2 separate regions of the Mus musculus genome follow, and region 2 is reported to be linked to region 1. The links are microRNA targets in miRTarBase. Many come from high-throughput screens and were not tested one by one. Region 1 holds a microRNA gene; the other region holds the end of a gene's coding sequence.

What was found. Region 1 holds the annotated microRNA mmu-miR-3064-3p (UGCCACACUGCAACACCUUACA, at 3,156-3,177, opposite strand). A microRNA usually pairs through its seed, bases 2 to 8, with sites in the 3' UTR of a target mRNA and lowers its output. Matches are read on the target gene's strand: a 7mer-m8 pairs with bases 2 to 8, a 7mer-A1 pairs with bases 2 to 7 and ends in A, and an 8mer does both.
Region 2: the mRNA of Ubn2 is a reported target of mmu-miR-3064-3p. The part of its 3' UTR that is shown has no 7-base or 8-base seed match.

The regions. Positions count from the first base shown.
Region 1 is chr11:106,779,540-106,787,822 of GRCm38, forward strand. It overlaps Mir3064 (microRNA 3064), which reads right to left and starts at 3,220; the gene lies at 3,154-3,220. Ddx5 (DEAD box helicase 5) reads right to left here. Exons shown (of 13, transcript NM_007840.3): 2 at 7,370-7,535; 3 at 6,909-7,005; 4 at 6,687-6,820; 5 at 6,528-6,593; 6 at 5,856-5,997; 7 at 5,597-5,757; 8 at 5,341-5,513; 9 at 4,875-4,985; 10 at 4,562-4,623; 11 at 4,420-4,479; 12 at 2,930-3,154; 13 at 817-2,717. The coding sequence ends at 2,311.
Region 2 is chr6:38,501,703-38,509,305 of GRCm38, forward strand. Ubn2 (ubinuclein 2) reads left to right here. Exons shown (of 17, transcript NM_177185.4): 17 at 536-7,603. The coding sequence ends at 585. Mir7670 (microRNA 7670) reads left to right here and starts at 5,623; the gene lies at 5,623-5,691.

The DNA of each region.
Region 1 (8,283 bases):
ACGTGCTGTAGACCACGCCCCCGGAAGAGCGTCACCCGCTGCTGAGCAGCAGCCGCCTTGGGCGTATCCCGGCCTCCGCGGCTGACGCCAGCGTCTGATTGTTTACTACCTTTGGGATTTTCCGTTTGGTAACTCCACCTGCCTCACATTCACTTGTTTAGCTTTTACCACAATCCTGTTACTATAGAGTTAGCATCAGGTTTTCCGAGCTGCCAAACAAAACGAAAAAAACCCCTTCCAAAATGTTGTCCTGGACGGTACTGATGTGAGGCTTAGCGTTCAGTCTCCAAGGGAATGTGTTGTGCACTTTTAGTTTATACTAATGCTGGCAAACATTATCACCAATGGCCACTCCACTCTCTCCCGGGTGTGGCTGGACAGACAGGGTGACCAGGTCTTAAAAAGGGCTTCGGGAATTTATTAACCACCTCCTTAAAAAGAATTTTTTTTTTTTTTTTTAAAGATTTGTGAGTTGCTGTCTTCAGACACACCAGAAGAGGCCATCACTACAGGTGGTTGTGAGGCACCGTATGGTTGCTGGAAGAGCAGTGCTCTTAACCTCTGTACTTCCCTTCTCGTAGAAATCAGTTAATACCTGACTAGGACAAAGGGGTGTTTTTGATACTGGAGTTTGATTATAAGGTGCAGGACTGTTGTGGTAGCTCACTCCTATGTTAACATATGCATAAGGGACAATCTCTGACTTCAAGGCCAGCTTGGCCTATGTATCAAATTCCAGGATAGCTGGAATGGGGAAGGCGGGGGTGCAAAAACCCAGGTAAGAGGCCTCTACGCGAATAAATAAATGAAGAGAATGGGGAGAAAAATCACATTTATTAGTTAAGACAACCACAGGCTGGACACAACACACATGCTAAAAAGTGGACTGTCTTTTAAAACTTCAAAGGTAATTTTTTCCAAGCCCCACAATCATTTCCATAATTATTTACAAAATAAAAGGTCCACATTAAGACATTGAACAGTAAAATATGTAATAAATGCTCCAATCTACACCTATACTTAAAAATCATGAATCTGACTAGCCATGCCATTGAAAACCACTCAGTACTAGAGGATGAACCAGTTTTCAATGTTATCAGCCCTGGAAAACACGCCCAGCTCCCACCCCCAGCACATTCTATTTTGTTTTAACATTTTATAAATAAGGCATTAACAATAAGCCCATTTTAAAAACAAAAAGTTAAATAACTTCCTTTAAGACTTTTGTCCTGGGCAAAAAACACACCAATTTTTTGGGAAGACATTTAGACCTACTTATAGCCATTCTGAAACAAAGCTGTTTGCTGGTGATCCTACTTAAATCTAAAGCTTTCCCCCCAATCCTTCTAGCTGTTAAGCCCATAGTGAACCTAACCCGAAAACTTTACTGTGCTTTTGGTTATGTCGTCTTCCTTGTGACTAGCCTACAAGACCCCTAAAATCCCCTGAAATAATGTGGAGACATTCCTGACTTCCAGGTGTGGCTATAAGCACTCTGGCAAGTCCTCGAGGACTAGGAACCTACAAGGTAATCCTGCACTAAAGACACAGTGCACACAGCTCTTGGGCTAACAGTCTTTCAGCTTCGCACATTTCGGCAGTTGACAACAAAACCAAGAGATGGAATAAAATTTTGATAAAGCAAAAATGTCATTACTTAAAACTGTTTTGCAAAAGAAATCAACATGTATTTATATAGTTACTGTCCTGTAGTTCACTCTTAAGGAAAATAGGCTATTAAATGACTTACTTCCCTGATACTGAAAAATGACAAAGCTTTTATCCAATAAATCTGGAATTATAAAATCCATTGTCTCTAACTTCTTCCCATACAAACAGATCATCCTAAGGGCCTTCTGAGTTCCTCTCCTAAATCCAGGAATGGGAAGTAGTCAACTTTCCTTGTGTAAAAATAAACACCAAAACAAAAATCCCCCCCAAAAACACTATCTAAGCCAAGTTGTACATGACATTATATATGTAAAATAAAGTACAATTTCACTTAATTCAGTCTTCAAATATCTTTTATTGGAAGGCCATGCATTGCCTTCATTTATTGTATTTGAAATCACTGTACAGTTACTTTTGTGAAAACACTGCCTGCATTTTCTAGTACAAAAAAAACCTAAAAATTGTTTCAGGAATGTAGAGAAATATCCAACTTAAATAGCGAAAAAAGTGCACCATAATTACTGCTGCACTGCAGTCATTTCTGCATTTCCCATGTTTCTTAAATAACTATCTTGTCTGATAACACACAATATAAAGAGCAATTATGAAAAACAGACATTTACATATACTTCTAAAGTCTTATTGAGAATACCCTGTTGGCATGGGATAGCCAATCATAGGCGCAGCAGCTGCGGTAGCAGGATATGCATATGCCTGTTGGTTCATACCATTGTGCATATTTGCAACATTACTTCCATATTGCTGAGTGCTATCATAACCGTTCTGGTAAGTCCCTGTTGGATTACCAGTCCTAAAACTGGTCTGTATGCCAGCAGATACAAAATTACTTCCAAAGCTCCCATTGGTGTAATTTGCAGCACTGTAAACACCATTCTGAGTTTTAGCCCCAAAATCTCTCTTAAGCAGATTAGAGTAGCCTCTGTCATAGTTTTCCCTGTCTCTAAAGGTATTAAATCCACCCCTTTTGCCTGCAGAGTATCTGTCACGACGATCGTCCTTCATGCCTCCTCTACCCCTGGAACGACCTGTCAAGAAAGTAAGTGGAAATTGATCAATTTTTATCTGTGGCATAAGTGTGGTAAGATAGGAGAGAGTTAGATAGCTCTATTTATGTTGGGTCTTAAGTGCTTTTAGATTCTTTAGGTTTCAAAATAAGAAGTACTCATTCTTCCGATCCCACTTTGTAGACAAGAGGTAACTGCCACCTACCAGAAACATCTCTTACGAAGATCCTTACCTGAACCTCTGTCTTCGACCAACTGAAGCAACTTGGGATTAATTGCTTGATTAGCTTCCCGAAGCACAGAGATAAGGTCGCTCACTTGCTTTATGTTATTAGGTGTAAAGAAAGTGTATGCTGTGCCTGTTTTGGTACTGCGAGCAGTTCTTCCAATTCGATGAATATAATCCTCTGAGGAGTTAGGGTAGTCATAATTGATGACAAATTTCACATCTTCCACATCTGTAAGGTGTTGCAGTGTGGCAAAATAGCAATGTACGGAGTTTTGCACACCACAACAGCCAGACCAAAAATAAAAAGTTAGACAATTGTATTCCCAAGAAGGTACGGGCTGAAAAAAATACAGTTAAAATGGTTATCCATTTCCTGTAGGAACACCATTGAGGTAGGAAAAAAGGGCAGGGTAGGAAAAAAAAAAAACCAAAACACCCAAAAAACAACAAAAAAATTTGCACATGTCAGCTGTCTTAACACCCACCCACTGACAGCCTATCAAGGGAATGTGTGTTCTCCTTAGCACATTCCCAAATTGACAGTCCCCTTACAGATCATCAAGTGACATCTGAATGCTTCTGCGCAGTAGGGCCAATTAAAAGTTTCTCAGCAATCTCTTCATGTGCTCATTTTTGAGGACCTTTTAACAAAAATGTAAAGGTCCTTTGCATTACACTCATCAGAAGTTCAAAACTCTGGCCACACTGCTTGTCTTGCCAAGACCTTACAACTGCAGCTGCAAGAAAAACATACCTGTCCCCCAAAAGTTGTTTTAATGCACTGTGTCTCGTCTAGGCAAGCGCTTCCAAGAAGCCAGGATTCACTTGAGAATGTGTCTCTCTCTGGCAGGTCTCGACATGACGACTACTGTGTAGGTGAGGGAGGAACTTTCAAGGCACTTTCTTTTCCCACTGACTATGTGTGAGAAGTTGGTCCTGCTCTAGGTCTCATGTGCCAGTACTCACCAATTTGTAAAAGGCTTTTAAAGCTGCTCTCTCCATTTCAAACTTGAACAAAAATTTCATTGAACATTGAAGTTTGGAAATATTTCTTCGACATTTCAGCAAACTCACTGAAACTCAAAGACCCACAGATCACAGTGAACAGTTTGAAACAATGCTGTACCATGGCAATCATGCAAAGCATGGGACAGATGAAATACCACGGCAGTGAACTGTGAGGTAACTTCCATTTTTTTCCCCCGGAGAGAACAGTTTATGGGGCAGAGGTGGTATGTTCTGCCCTTTGAAGATTACTGGCACACTTTCAGCTTTTCACCTCTCTAATCGACTGGAAGCAGCCAGCCGATCACTAGTCCTCCATCCCCCTCGAGTCCTCCGATTGTCATGCCTAGGCCTTGCCACAAAGACTGCACCTTTATGTGAAAAAAACTTAGAAAAAATGCAGGTTAAAGAAAGCAATAAACTTTCTTTAAAAAAAACTACATGGAGATCTTCTGGGAAACCAAGCCATGAATTCGAGTTTGTACTAACCTAGCCCTCTGGAGGCCACATCGGTAGCAATCAGAATAGGAGCTTTTCCATGTTTGAATTCTATAAAGACAACCATGAATAATCATTAATGCAAGCAAATGATGTTATCAAGCTACAAACTAATCTTATTTGAAATACATACCATTTAGAACCCAGTCACGTTCCTGCTGACTCTTGTCACCATGGATGCCCATGGCAGGCCACCTATACCAAGAATTAAATTATCAGTAGTATACCCAACTTAAAACTCTTGTCAAGACTCTACCAATATCTATTCCCACTGTACTTCATCTTGGCCAAGTGTTTTCCCACTAAGCATTGCAACCCAGAGCCTACTACAAGTCACTGGAACGAATCCATACAATTACCCCTATATCACAGCGCATGATTCCCAAAAAACACTAGCCCCAGATCAAAGTACTTTTAAGTCTGCTTTGACTCAGGAAACCACATACCCATCTCTCCTCATTTTTCTGGTAAGTTCATCACATCTTCTTTTGGTTTCAACAAAAACAATAGTTTTATTCTCCTTCTCACTCATGATTTCTTCCATCAGACGAATAAGCCTAAAGATGAAGAAAAACTCACCATTTTTAAAAGGATATAAAAACAAAACCAAACACAACCCTGATTTTTTGCTTAGTGAATCCAAATGTCAAACCCACTAAGCCACCACACATACAGATTTTCAGGTGTATCACTTTATGCGTGCTTGTGTAGTGACTAGGTTCAAAAACTATGAGTGTTTTCCTCATGCAAGCCAAGCAAGTTCTTCATATCACACCAAGCCATATCACCAACAAATGGACTTTTAAAAGAACATATAGCACACTACCTTAATTTTATTTTGAGACAATTTTCAGAATTGATTACTCTTAGTTTATGTAAGATTTTTCTCAATTTGTAAAAATGTAAACTCACTTTTCATCCTTTTCGACATCATGACATACATCCACAATCTGAAGAATGTTATGGTTTGCACTCAGTTCCAGTGCACCAATATTGATATGAATATAGTCTTTCAGGAAATCTTCAGCAAGCTGTCTTACTTCTTTTGGCCAAGTTGCACTCCACATTAGTGTTTGCCTATCAGGCTGAAGATTTAAGGAAGCAAGTTACACTTCAATCTTAAGAGCATTCCTAGAACTGATTTTTATGATAACATAAAGATACTTACTCTTATTTGATCCACAATTTTCCTTATCTGGGGTTCAAATCCCATATCAAGCATCCTATCAGCTTCATCAAGGACAAGGTAAGTTGTTCTTCTCAGATTGGTTTTCCCACACTCTAAAAAGTCAATCAGTCTTCCAGGTGTTGCAATACAGATTTCCACACCTTTAATTAAATAAATAAAAAGGAGTAGATGCTTTAACTATAATACACAAAACCATCATCTCCATCAGTGACAAAGATCCCCCTTTATGGTCACACACCTCTTTCCAAATCACGAATCTGTGGTCCTTTGGGAGCACCACCATAGATGCAAGTAGACTTCAAGCGACAAGCTCGACAATATTCAGCAGCCACTTGCTGCACCTGCTGTGCCAGTTCTCGAGTTGGTGCCAGCACCAAGCACTAAGTTTGAAAAACAAAAAAAAGTGTTTAGTATAAAACAGTTTACTAAGACCCTATGTCTTCGTGTGTTGGGAATTAGAATTCAGGTGGTCATAAGACTTTTTTTTGAGACAGTGTCTCCTGAATTCTCCAGTTTCTACCTCCCAGGCACTATTCTCAGGATAAAATTTTTGTGTGTGGAAGCACATGGAGAAACCAGAAGGCAACTTTTGCAAGTTGGTCTCTCCTTGTGGTAGTTGATCTTGATCAGGCTCATGACAAGTATCTATAATTGGCTGATCCAACTAACTGTCTTTGGATACTAATTTTTTCCCCCCGAGATAGGGTTTCTTTGTGTAGCTCTGGCTGTCCTGGAACTCAGAAATCCACCTGCCTCTGCCTCCCCAGTGCTGTGATTAAAGGTGTGTGCCACCACGCCTGGGCTGGATACTAATTTTAAGTGGCTAGTTTATACTGGCAACCCTATATTCCCTATATGAAAGTCAAAGGAGTTTTAGCAAATATGGTGGGAAACTTAAGATAATACTTACAATAGGCCCATCACCTCTCTCTAGGAATGGCTGGTGGTTTATGTGTACAATGGCAGGCAGCAAATACTATTGAAGAGTAAAAATAATAGAAATTGGATTAAAATAGTTATATATCTAAGGTCACCTCTGCCACAATTTATCAAGTTTTCCTAGACTTACAGATAATGTTTTCCCAGATCCAGTCTGAGCTACTCCAACCATATCCAATCCACTGAGAGCAACTGGCCAGCCCTGAGCTTGAATAGCAGTGGGTTCAGTAAAGTTCTGCCTTGCAATCACATCCATGACATTCGCTGCAACCAACAATACCATTTTAAAAACAAATTTATAAGCAAGGGGGGGGGGGGAAATGAAAGGATAAAGATGAAAGTTAGTCCTTACCAGGAAAGTTTGCTTCATAAAAATTCAGAACAGGTTTTGGACAGTTGTGACCTCTAACTGTAATTTCCTTGCTTCTTCTGTATGTATCTACCTCTTGCTGAAAAACAAATTATCTCAGCCTCAGACTTCTGCCATGCTCCCTATAGCTCAATAAACTTTTAAACATACTTATTTCTAAAAATCTGGACCCATAAATAAGAACTCTACTTGGCAACAAAAATTAATAATTAATTTATAATACTTATTTAAATGAAAATTGAGTCTCTATGAAGCCCAATAGACTGCTAAACCTGTTTCCCCAGTGACAGGATTAAAATAGGGCACCATATATCACAAGAAAAATTCAATGGAAGTGCACCACAAGCAACTCTCCATTTGCAAGGCACCTATTACATTTCCATCTAATTGACTAGAAGCAGTTACTGAGTTACAGCATGAAGAAGCCACATTTATAAACTCACTGCGGTGCGCCTTGCCAAATCAGGGTGTTCTTGATAAAAATTCTTCTCAAATTTGGGCAGCTCATCAAGATTCCACTTCTTTTTAACTAGTTTCTCCCCAGGATTTCCAAACTTCTTTCCAGAGAGGGGTCCTGTTCTACTCCCTCCAAATCGAGGTGCACCAAACCTACACACACACAAAACAAAAGTTGGGCACATTGTGAAAGATACTGCATGAACAGGTTTGCCCTCACATTTCATCTGCTGCCTTTTGATAGAGCCAAAGTGTGCTTCTGGAATCCTTCCCAACTGTCATTCTAAGGACAGCCACAACTGGCAGCGTTTCTTTTCTGAAGTCCCAAGCACACTCTACTGAGGCCAAATAAACATCGTGGGTTTATCAGGTGGCAAACAGCCCAAACATCTGACCAGATTACAAGGACAAGAGTTAGAGCCTCCATCTTCTCTCCCCACAGAGCTTAGGCATTAGCGTCTAGGAGCTGGGCAAGAAGGGAGGAGCTTAGGAAGGTTATTTTTGCCCGTTTTCATCAAAGGACCTAATCTTAAAGAAATAACGGGGCCGCAAAGGCAATGTGAGCAGCTGAACGAGGCTAGCACGGCGGACAGGGTAGAAAGGGGAACAGGCGCCAGCGAGCCGAGTCTAGGGAAACGCCGCGAACGGCTGCAAACCAAGGTAACAAAATTATATAACGCGAGGGAGAAAAAGAGGAGGAGCCGAAAGCAACCGGGGGAGGAGTCCCGGCCCGGGCGGCGTTCCCGCTGGGGCGGCGCTTCCTTCTTTGTCTCGCATTTCTCTCTGCGCCACATTTTCTCGCCGCTGCCATTTTGAGCTCCTCCGCCGGGCGGGGTAACAAAGGCGCCGCCGCCATGTCCGAGGCCGGCATTTTGTGGCTGCGGCTCCGCCACATGGCCGA
Region 2 (7,603 bases), not on the chromosome of region 1:
CGATAAAAACCAAAGAAAAAAGAAACCAAGTGGCCCAGCAGCAGACTTGCATCTAGTACCGCAAGGTTAGGACCTAAACAAAGACATAGCTGCATTTTTTTTTTTTTTTTTTTTTTTTTTTTTTTACCACCAATGTGCTATGTTCACAATACTTGGGAATTACCACATACCATGTTATGGAAAAATATTTAATTCCACTTATTATAAGAAAATAAAACTGGCCTAATCTTCCAAAGAAATCAAAAGATTGAGTAGGTCCCTTGAAGGTGGGCATTGTGTGATCTGATTGCTTTAGAACCCAGCATTGAACATGGTTATGAGGTAAATAAATGGAATGGTACATACCTGCCAGGATAGTTTTCATAGAGTTCTCAGTCACTACCAGTCTACAGAATCAACTTCTGTAATACCATCACCACGTGAGGTAAAGGTTATCATTTTAGAAATGTAATTCACAATAAACTGATTCTTCTTGCTTTTGCTTTTGCTTTTTTACGATGTGCAAAACATACCAATTTAATGTTTCTTTTCTCAGATGGAGGCCAAAGTAAAGGGGACACTAAGTTACCACGGAAACCTCAGTGACTTTCCAGCAAGGGGGAGAGGAACCACTTGGCTGGCTGGCGGGACCGACCTGATGGGAAGTCTTGGCGGTCACAGGGCTGCTGTTTCTGTCCATGTTTACATGCTTGTCCCAAGCACTGTGGTGAGGAGGAAAAGAGAGAAAATGTTACTTGAGCAAAGCCAGTGCAGGAGGAAGAGATGCTTTTGTGCAAAGTCAGGGAGCTTTGGTCTTTTCAAACCCAAGCCCCCATGTTAACCAACTTAAAGCAGACTCAGCTGTCAAACCCACAGAAGTGTCAATCTGACTGTATTTAAAAAAAAAAAAAAAAAAAAAGGAAAGAAAAGAAAAGAAAAGGAAAAAAACTGGGGAAGAAGGAAGGAAGTTAAGAGGATTTGGGTAAATGGCCATCCATCCTGGGGGTTAGGTCTGAACACTCTACAGATAAGTGCATAATAAAAGCAGCTACAAGTAGAATTAGCCCAGTTTAAGGAGACTCAGTCATGTCTGTCTAGTAGACAGATTTTCCACAGTCAGTTGCATGAGGCTCTCCAGACAGTTGCCGAAGAGTACTGTGCCCTGAAATGTCCTGAGCAAACTTGAATCTTCTCCAGTATATAGCAGGTCCCCGTGCGAGTCAGTGGCCTGAAGATACTTTAGCAAAGCTGCTGTGACACAGTGATGTGTAGTACTATAGCTTCTAGGTTTTTAAAGTCAGGAAAAGGAGCCTGTGCTCTTACGAGACAAAATGTAGATAATCCCTTTTTATAAAAGGGTCAGTTTCACCCTCCATTCAGAAGTAAGTACTGCACTCCTTTCCACAGTTCACTTGTCATCTGGTATTGACTGGTTAATAGTTATTTCTCGTCCTGATATGCAGAAGTGACTGCTCGCATTTTCTCTTGACATGTGCGTCTTTGTTGTTGGGCTGCTGCTTTGCTGCTCATCTCTCTTGCAGCCTGCCAAGAACTGCAAACTCCCAGTTCCCTCCCTGCACAGTGCTCTTTCACTAGCGGTACTTTAGGTGACTAGAGCTGTTGATATAAACAGGAGTGTGCACAGCATCTGTCTCTTCATGGGTCAAACAAATAGCGTATGTATAATAGTGGACTGTTTTTCATTCTGAAGTGGTATTTTTAAAGGGATGAAGTCTAATAGGAATACGGATGTGCACAGGATGTGCACAAAGGACCACCTGTTATAACTATCACAATGAAGCTTTATGACCCATGCCCAGCGCAGGATGTTTTCAGCATTTGGGATCTTAAAAGTTTTACTATGACTTACTCAGAATATTAATATTCAAGTCAGCCTACAGATTATAAGATTCGTTAATTCTAGTTTTCATATGCGAATAGAGGCAATGAAGGGTGTGAAGGGGAAAACACAATTTTCTTGGGATACATTTTATTTTGCCTCAGCTATGTTTGTGGTGTCCTTGAATTTTAAACTTCTGAGTATTTTCAGACTATCCAAGAAAAAGCTCTGAGTGATACAAATTTAGTTTATATATGGTGACAGACTAGCCTGGTAATAACAAGATTGCTTCTATAATCTCATTACATATTACTCTGTATCATTTAAGTTTATTCAGATAAGAGTGTTAACCAGACCCCATTTTCCTTTGATGAGCAAAAGTCCCAAGAAGCCTCTAGGACTATAATAACCAACCGCAGACCTGCTCCAATTTTTATGCCTATAATTTGACTTCAAAGTTTCAATGGCGTGCTTAATAGCAAAAAAGTCAATGAATAATTGAAAGCTTTAGTTCCAAGAACTCGTTACAGTAAAGGAAGATGATTTTTTTTTTAGAAGAACATTGAAACTAGATATGATGGCCCATGCTTGTAATCCTAGAATTCAGGAAGCTGAGGCAGGAAGATCTCAGGTTTGAGGCCAGCCTGAAGTATTTAGCAGCAAGTCCCATGCTAGTCTCTACTGGACTAACAATGAGAGCTGTCTGTTTCCAACTGTCTTATTGTCTTTTAATGTTCAATTAATTAAAAATCTATTGGACTTCCATATCAGGTGTCCCTGACAGCAAGTTCTTCAATGTCACTTGCTGCCATATGAAAATAATCTTTAAAAAGTTCATAAAGTTCTTCAAAAAACTGGGGCCCCTTGCTCCAGGCTCCTTCGCGCCTCTTCTCCTTCCGGTTTGGTGCAGAATGGGTTGTGAGCTGTGTTTTTTTCTTTTTGTCCTCTTTTGTTACTAACATTTTTCTTTTTCTTTTTTTCCTTTTTCTTTTTTAAAATAAAAAGCATAGATTTCCCCTCCTTACCCCTCCTTTTACAATGGTCTCTTCTCCGCTCTAAGTCCTCCCACTTCCTAGTTCAAGTTTCATTTGTGCCCCGACTGCCCCCCTCCCTGCCCCATTGCATTGTTTGTGTGCGGCACCTGCAGTAGAAAATCCCAGCTCTCCAGGTCGGTCTGGGAGCTCCTCCACCCTCCTCCTGTCTCAAAAAAGAAAAAGAAAAAAAAAGAGAGAGAAAAGAAAAAAGGAAAACAAACGAAAGTAATCACTGATATAATTTCTTGACTGTAGAAATTTACTTTACCAATAAAACAAATGAGGAGGCTATGTAAGCCCCAGTAGATATTTTGGAAAGATATTGGGATGTTGCAGAGAAGTTTGACTTGAATTTAGCACGTTAAGGTTCATTTGAAAGGTCTCTTAGAGAAACTTGATCAGCTCTTACGCCAGCACCAGGAAACTTCGTTTCACAGGCCTGCTTATACTTCATAAATTGCTGTACTGGGGTGTCTGTTGAGGAAGGCAGCCTGTACTTCATTTTCTCTACCCAGAGAGAAGTCCATGTGTGTTAGTGTCTCTTCTTGCTGATACTTGTGTATTTGTGTATTTGCAGACACATACATATTCATATAAATCAATCGATATTAAAAGTCAAACAATAATTGTAGGTTCTTAAATCCATCGATTCTGAACCATGCTATACGAAGACCCTTGATGGTTCTCTTTCCCATGTCATTTTATAAGATTACCCTGGGCTCTGAGACTATGCTGTGTAAAATATATCCTGTTTTCTGTCAGTCTTGACTCCTTAAGGACTGCTGCCAGATCCCCAGTCCAGCAACCCTTTCATGTTATACAAGTGAATCAAAGTCCTTTCTAAATGTAAATACATTTCTTTCTATATCATAACATTGAAAATGGTGTCCATACTTTATGGTTACCTGTCTTTACAGTTTTTATTACTAAACAAGCATATAAGTTGGTTATTTTTTAACAGAGACTTGCAATTCATACTGTATTTTTGCACTTAAAGTCAAATTATGTTATTTTTAAAATGGTGAATAACTGGAAAGGATATCTATAGAGCAGTGTGTATCACTAAAGAACGTTAGCAACATCCAAATGCAGAAGTAAATCAGCACACGTAGGTCCCATTCGATGGGGTCCTTGATTCAGGAATATTAAACTGTCTGTTTCCAACTGTCTTATCTTTGAAATTGCCTTCACTGATGTGATGTCTAAGCTGTTACTGTATATAAAGGTGATCCTCAGTATTCACAAGCAATAACAGTCAGCAGCGCTGTCCTCGGGCAGCAGTGCTGGACCACAGCTGGAGACTGTTTGCGAGCCAAGTGTCATGCTCACTCAGAGCCTCCAAAGTAAATGCAAGCAATAATCTCTACTAAAATCAAATTATAGTTCTTCTCCTGCTTCTGAGAACAAAGAGTGAAAATCATGATTTTAAAACAATCTGGAGAAAAGGTTTGGAGAAAAGAAGCCAAGTTAATGTATAATAACAAAGTCCTGATATTTTGAAGAAATCAAGAAGATTCAATTAGTACATTCTTTCATGCCCACCACCCCTTTGATGGATGTTATTAGCCCAAATTATCTTGTTTTGTGTCATAAACAATAAATAAGGCTTATTTGGGTCCCAGCACTGGGGAAAGAACTGGGCATATACCTGTGGGTATATATTGACTGTGGGTTTGACACCTGCTTGGAAACAGCTTATTGAAAGTGATCTTAATCCAGAATATTTTTTCCCAAAGCAGATCTAAATTGTTTACTATGCAGAGATGGAAAGGGTAGGCACCCCTATTCTCTCTCCTCTTGTTGTCCTCTCCCACAGCCCTTCCCACCTCTCCTTGATTCAAGACTTTCTAAAATGAAAATCCTACTGTTATTGCGACTGCCATTGGTTATGAGAACTCTGTTCTTTGGGAATGTCTCTAGAACTCATTGTCCTACTTGCTGCTACATTGGAAGATGATCTTTGCCTGTGTTGGCTGACTTTAACTGCTTTATTTGTAGGAGACTTTGTCATGTCCTTTGACCCTGTGTAGAAGAACTAGGGTACTTTACTTTAGGAGTGTACTATAAAAGCACACTGGTCCTCGTATTGTTAGAGAAGTTTGGGATTTGTTCCCCTTGTTGGTTTTTGTTTTGTTTTATTTTTCAAATTGAAAGTAGAAGAAAGAAGTCTATAGTCCAGGCCGGACTTGAGCACTGCCCTGTGCTTCAGCACGGTGCTTCTGCTGACCCACGTTCTCTGAAGGGCACTTTGATTTCTAGTTGTGCATGTGCGGCTCTTTGTTTGGTTTTGCTTTCAGGGTGCTTTTGGTTTTGTAAAAACAAAGCAGAGAAAAGTACAGTAGTAGATAAATGATCACAAACATGTTATGCAATTTTATTTTATAAAGTTTTAAGGGAAAAGTTTATCTCGTTGTAAATAAGTTCTTATCTCTGGTAAAATGCTTATATTACTCCTCTAAACCATGCTCAATTCAGGCCTTTGTCTTTGTTAAGTGCCTTTTATTTCTTTCTTTTTCTCCCTCTTTTGAAACTTTCAAACACCCTCAAGTACAGACTGATGAAGTCAGGGGATTCAGGAGAAAGAATCTGAGCCTTGCCAAAATCATGTCATGTAATAATTCTCTTCCTTCTGCTTTGTGTGTGTGGACACAAGTATGAGGTACACAGCGTGTATGAAACCAGGAGCAGCTGTGCCATGGCAATCCTTCTAAGCACTGCCCTGTTGACATTGCAGAACTTCTGCCTTGTTTATTCCATTGCTTTGAGTTGATTCAGATGGGCAGATTGGGAAGTAGTCTTTGCACATGATGCTGGCTTCCCTTTCTGAATATCTGTAGAAGTTAATATATATGTGTGTGTGTGTGTGTGTGTGTGTGTGTGTGTGTGTGTGTGTATATATATATATATGTAGGGCATTATATATATAAAGCATATGTGTTGGTTATTGCAAACATAATAAACTCTGTGGACTCCTTGACTATTTCTGGATGTAATCCACTTCTCTCTACCCCTCAAATCTTTCAGTAGTAGTGTGTGAGAAAGCATCAGGATAACAAGAGCATTTGTTGGTCGAGGTGATACGATGCCCTATGCAGACAAGATTCAGTACTAGTGCTAGAACCATGGGGTGGTGTCTGAATACACTTTGGAGGAGGTTGGCACTCATGTCAATATTAAAAGACGTTTTCTTCTGGAAAATGATCTTGAAATTGTATATCTGAAACGTCAATAAACTTAGATTTTTAGACAGTGAGGAAACACTTGTATAATCAGGACGTACTTGAGAAATGTTCAGTCTGTTTATTGCCAGATGATCAGATTTGCTCTGATTTCATGATTGTTTAAATGTCTTTCCTGAGCAAAATAAAATAACTTTCAGTATCTAAGACTTGAGGGGGGGGTTCTGTTTTGTTTTTGTTTTTAGATGTAACATGTTGAAAAAGACTAAGTTGAACTGATCCTCTGTATATCTACAAAGGACCCCCTTTTAAGTAAAATTTTAGTTGAAAAAGGAGACTTGTGGCTAAAAGAAGAGGTTCCTGTAGCAAAGCTGTTGTTAGCCAGCTTAGGATCAGTAGTGAGTGTTAATTCCTAAACTACTTTATCTAGGGGGAAGTCATTTAACCTTTGTGCCTCAGATTACCCATGAGACAATTGGGTATAATAATAATCACCTACCTCCCAGGGATATCAGAGACTTTACTATTTCAAAAATATTTTGTTTTTCTAAAACATTCTATATAATTATAGTATTATCTTCCTGCAGAGGTTGAAAAAAACAAATGTTTTTCTTATAGTGGATATAAAGAGCACCCTATGGTCTTTAAGTTAAAAAAAATCACTGGAATTTTAATTTAGATGTATATTTGATATTTAAACATACCATATTTGTTGTGTGGTATAATTATTAGTTTCAGATTAAATCAAAGGGGAATGAACACTAAGTTTCTTAACTATCAATAGATTTTTTAAAGCTTTTATGATGTTATTACTTGTGTGATATTTGCAAAGGTTGTGAAAGTAAAGTTAGATAAAGTTTGAATTATGGATAAATGATCCTGAAAGTTTATAGCCTCCTTTGTCTACATTCTGAATCTAATTTCCTTGCAGTACTTGCCTGGTGATGGAAAACTAATTTTTTACCTTTCTAAGAGTAAGTCAGATCCTGGCATACGACTCCTGCATCAGTAGGACTCTCCACCTTTGCCTGGGGGATAAGGCATGAGCAGCCTACACTAGGGCGGCTGTGCGTTCTTTTAACTTTGTATTTCATGCTTCTTCAGCCAGAGCCATCAACTGTTCGGGTTGTAGTAAAATGGGAGGAAGATCGACAGGATTCACTCCCTAGCTAGGGCAGAGGTAAAGATGGTCAGGATAGAAGGAAATATGATTTCCCAAACTCCTGGGAGGAAATTAGCATCATTTTATCTTCCCCTCCAGGCATGCACACTAAGTAGTAATCCATAACATTTTTCTCTTTAAAACGATAACAACAGGAACAAATGGGTACTACAGTTTTTGTTAGGGCTGAGTAGTGCATGTGAGAGTGGGGGCGGGAGGGGGGTAGTCTAAATGACAGCGAATATTCAGGGTCAGAGAGAGTGGAGTGCAGGGTGTTGAGGAGCAATTACTCAGCTCAGGTGAGTTAGGAGGTAGCACTGGGCTGAAGCAGCCAGCACATCTGGGCTGACCCAGAACTGGCTCAGACCTAGTCATTCTCTAGTCCTTCTAAAATCATTTTTGGGATTTT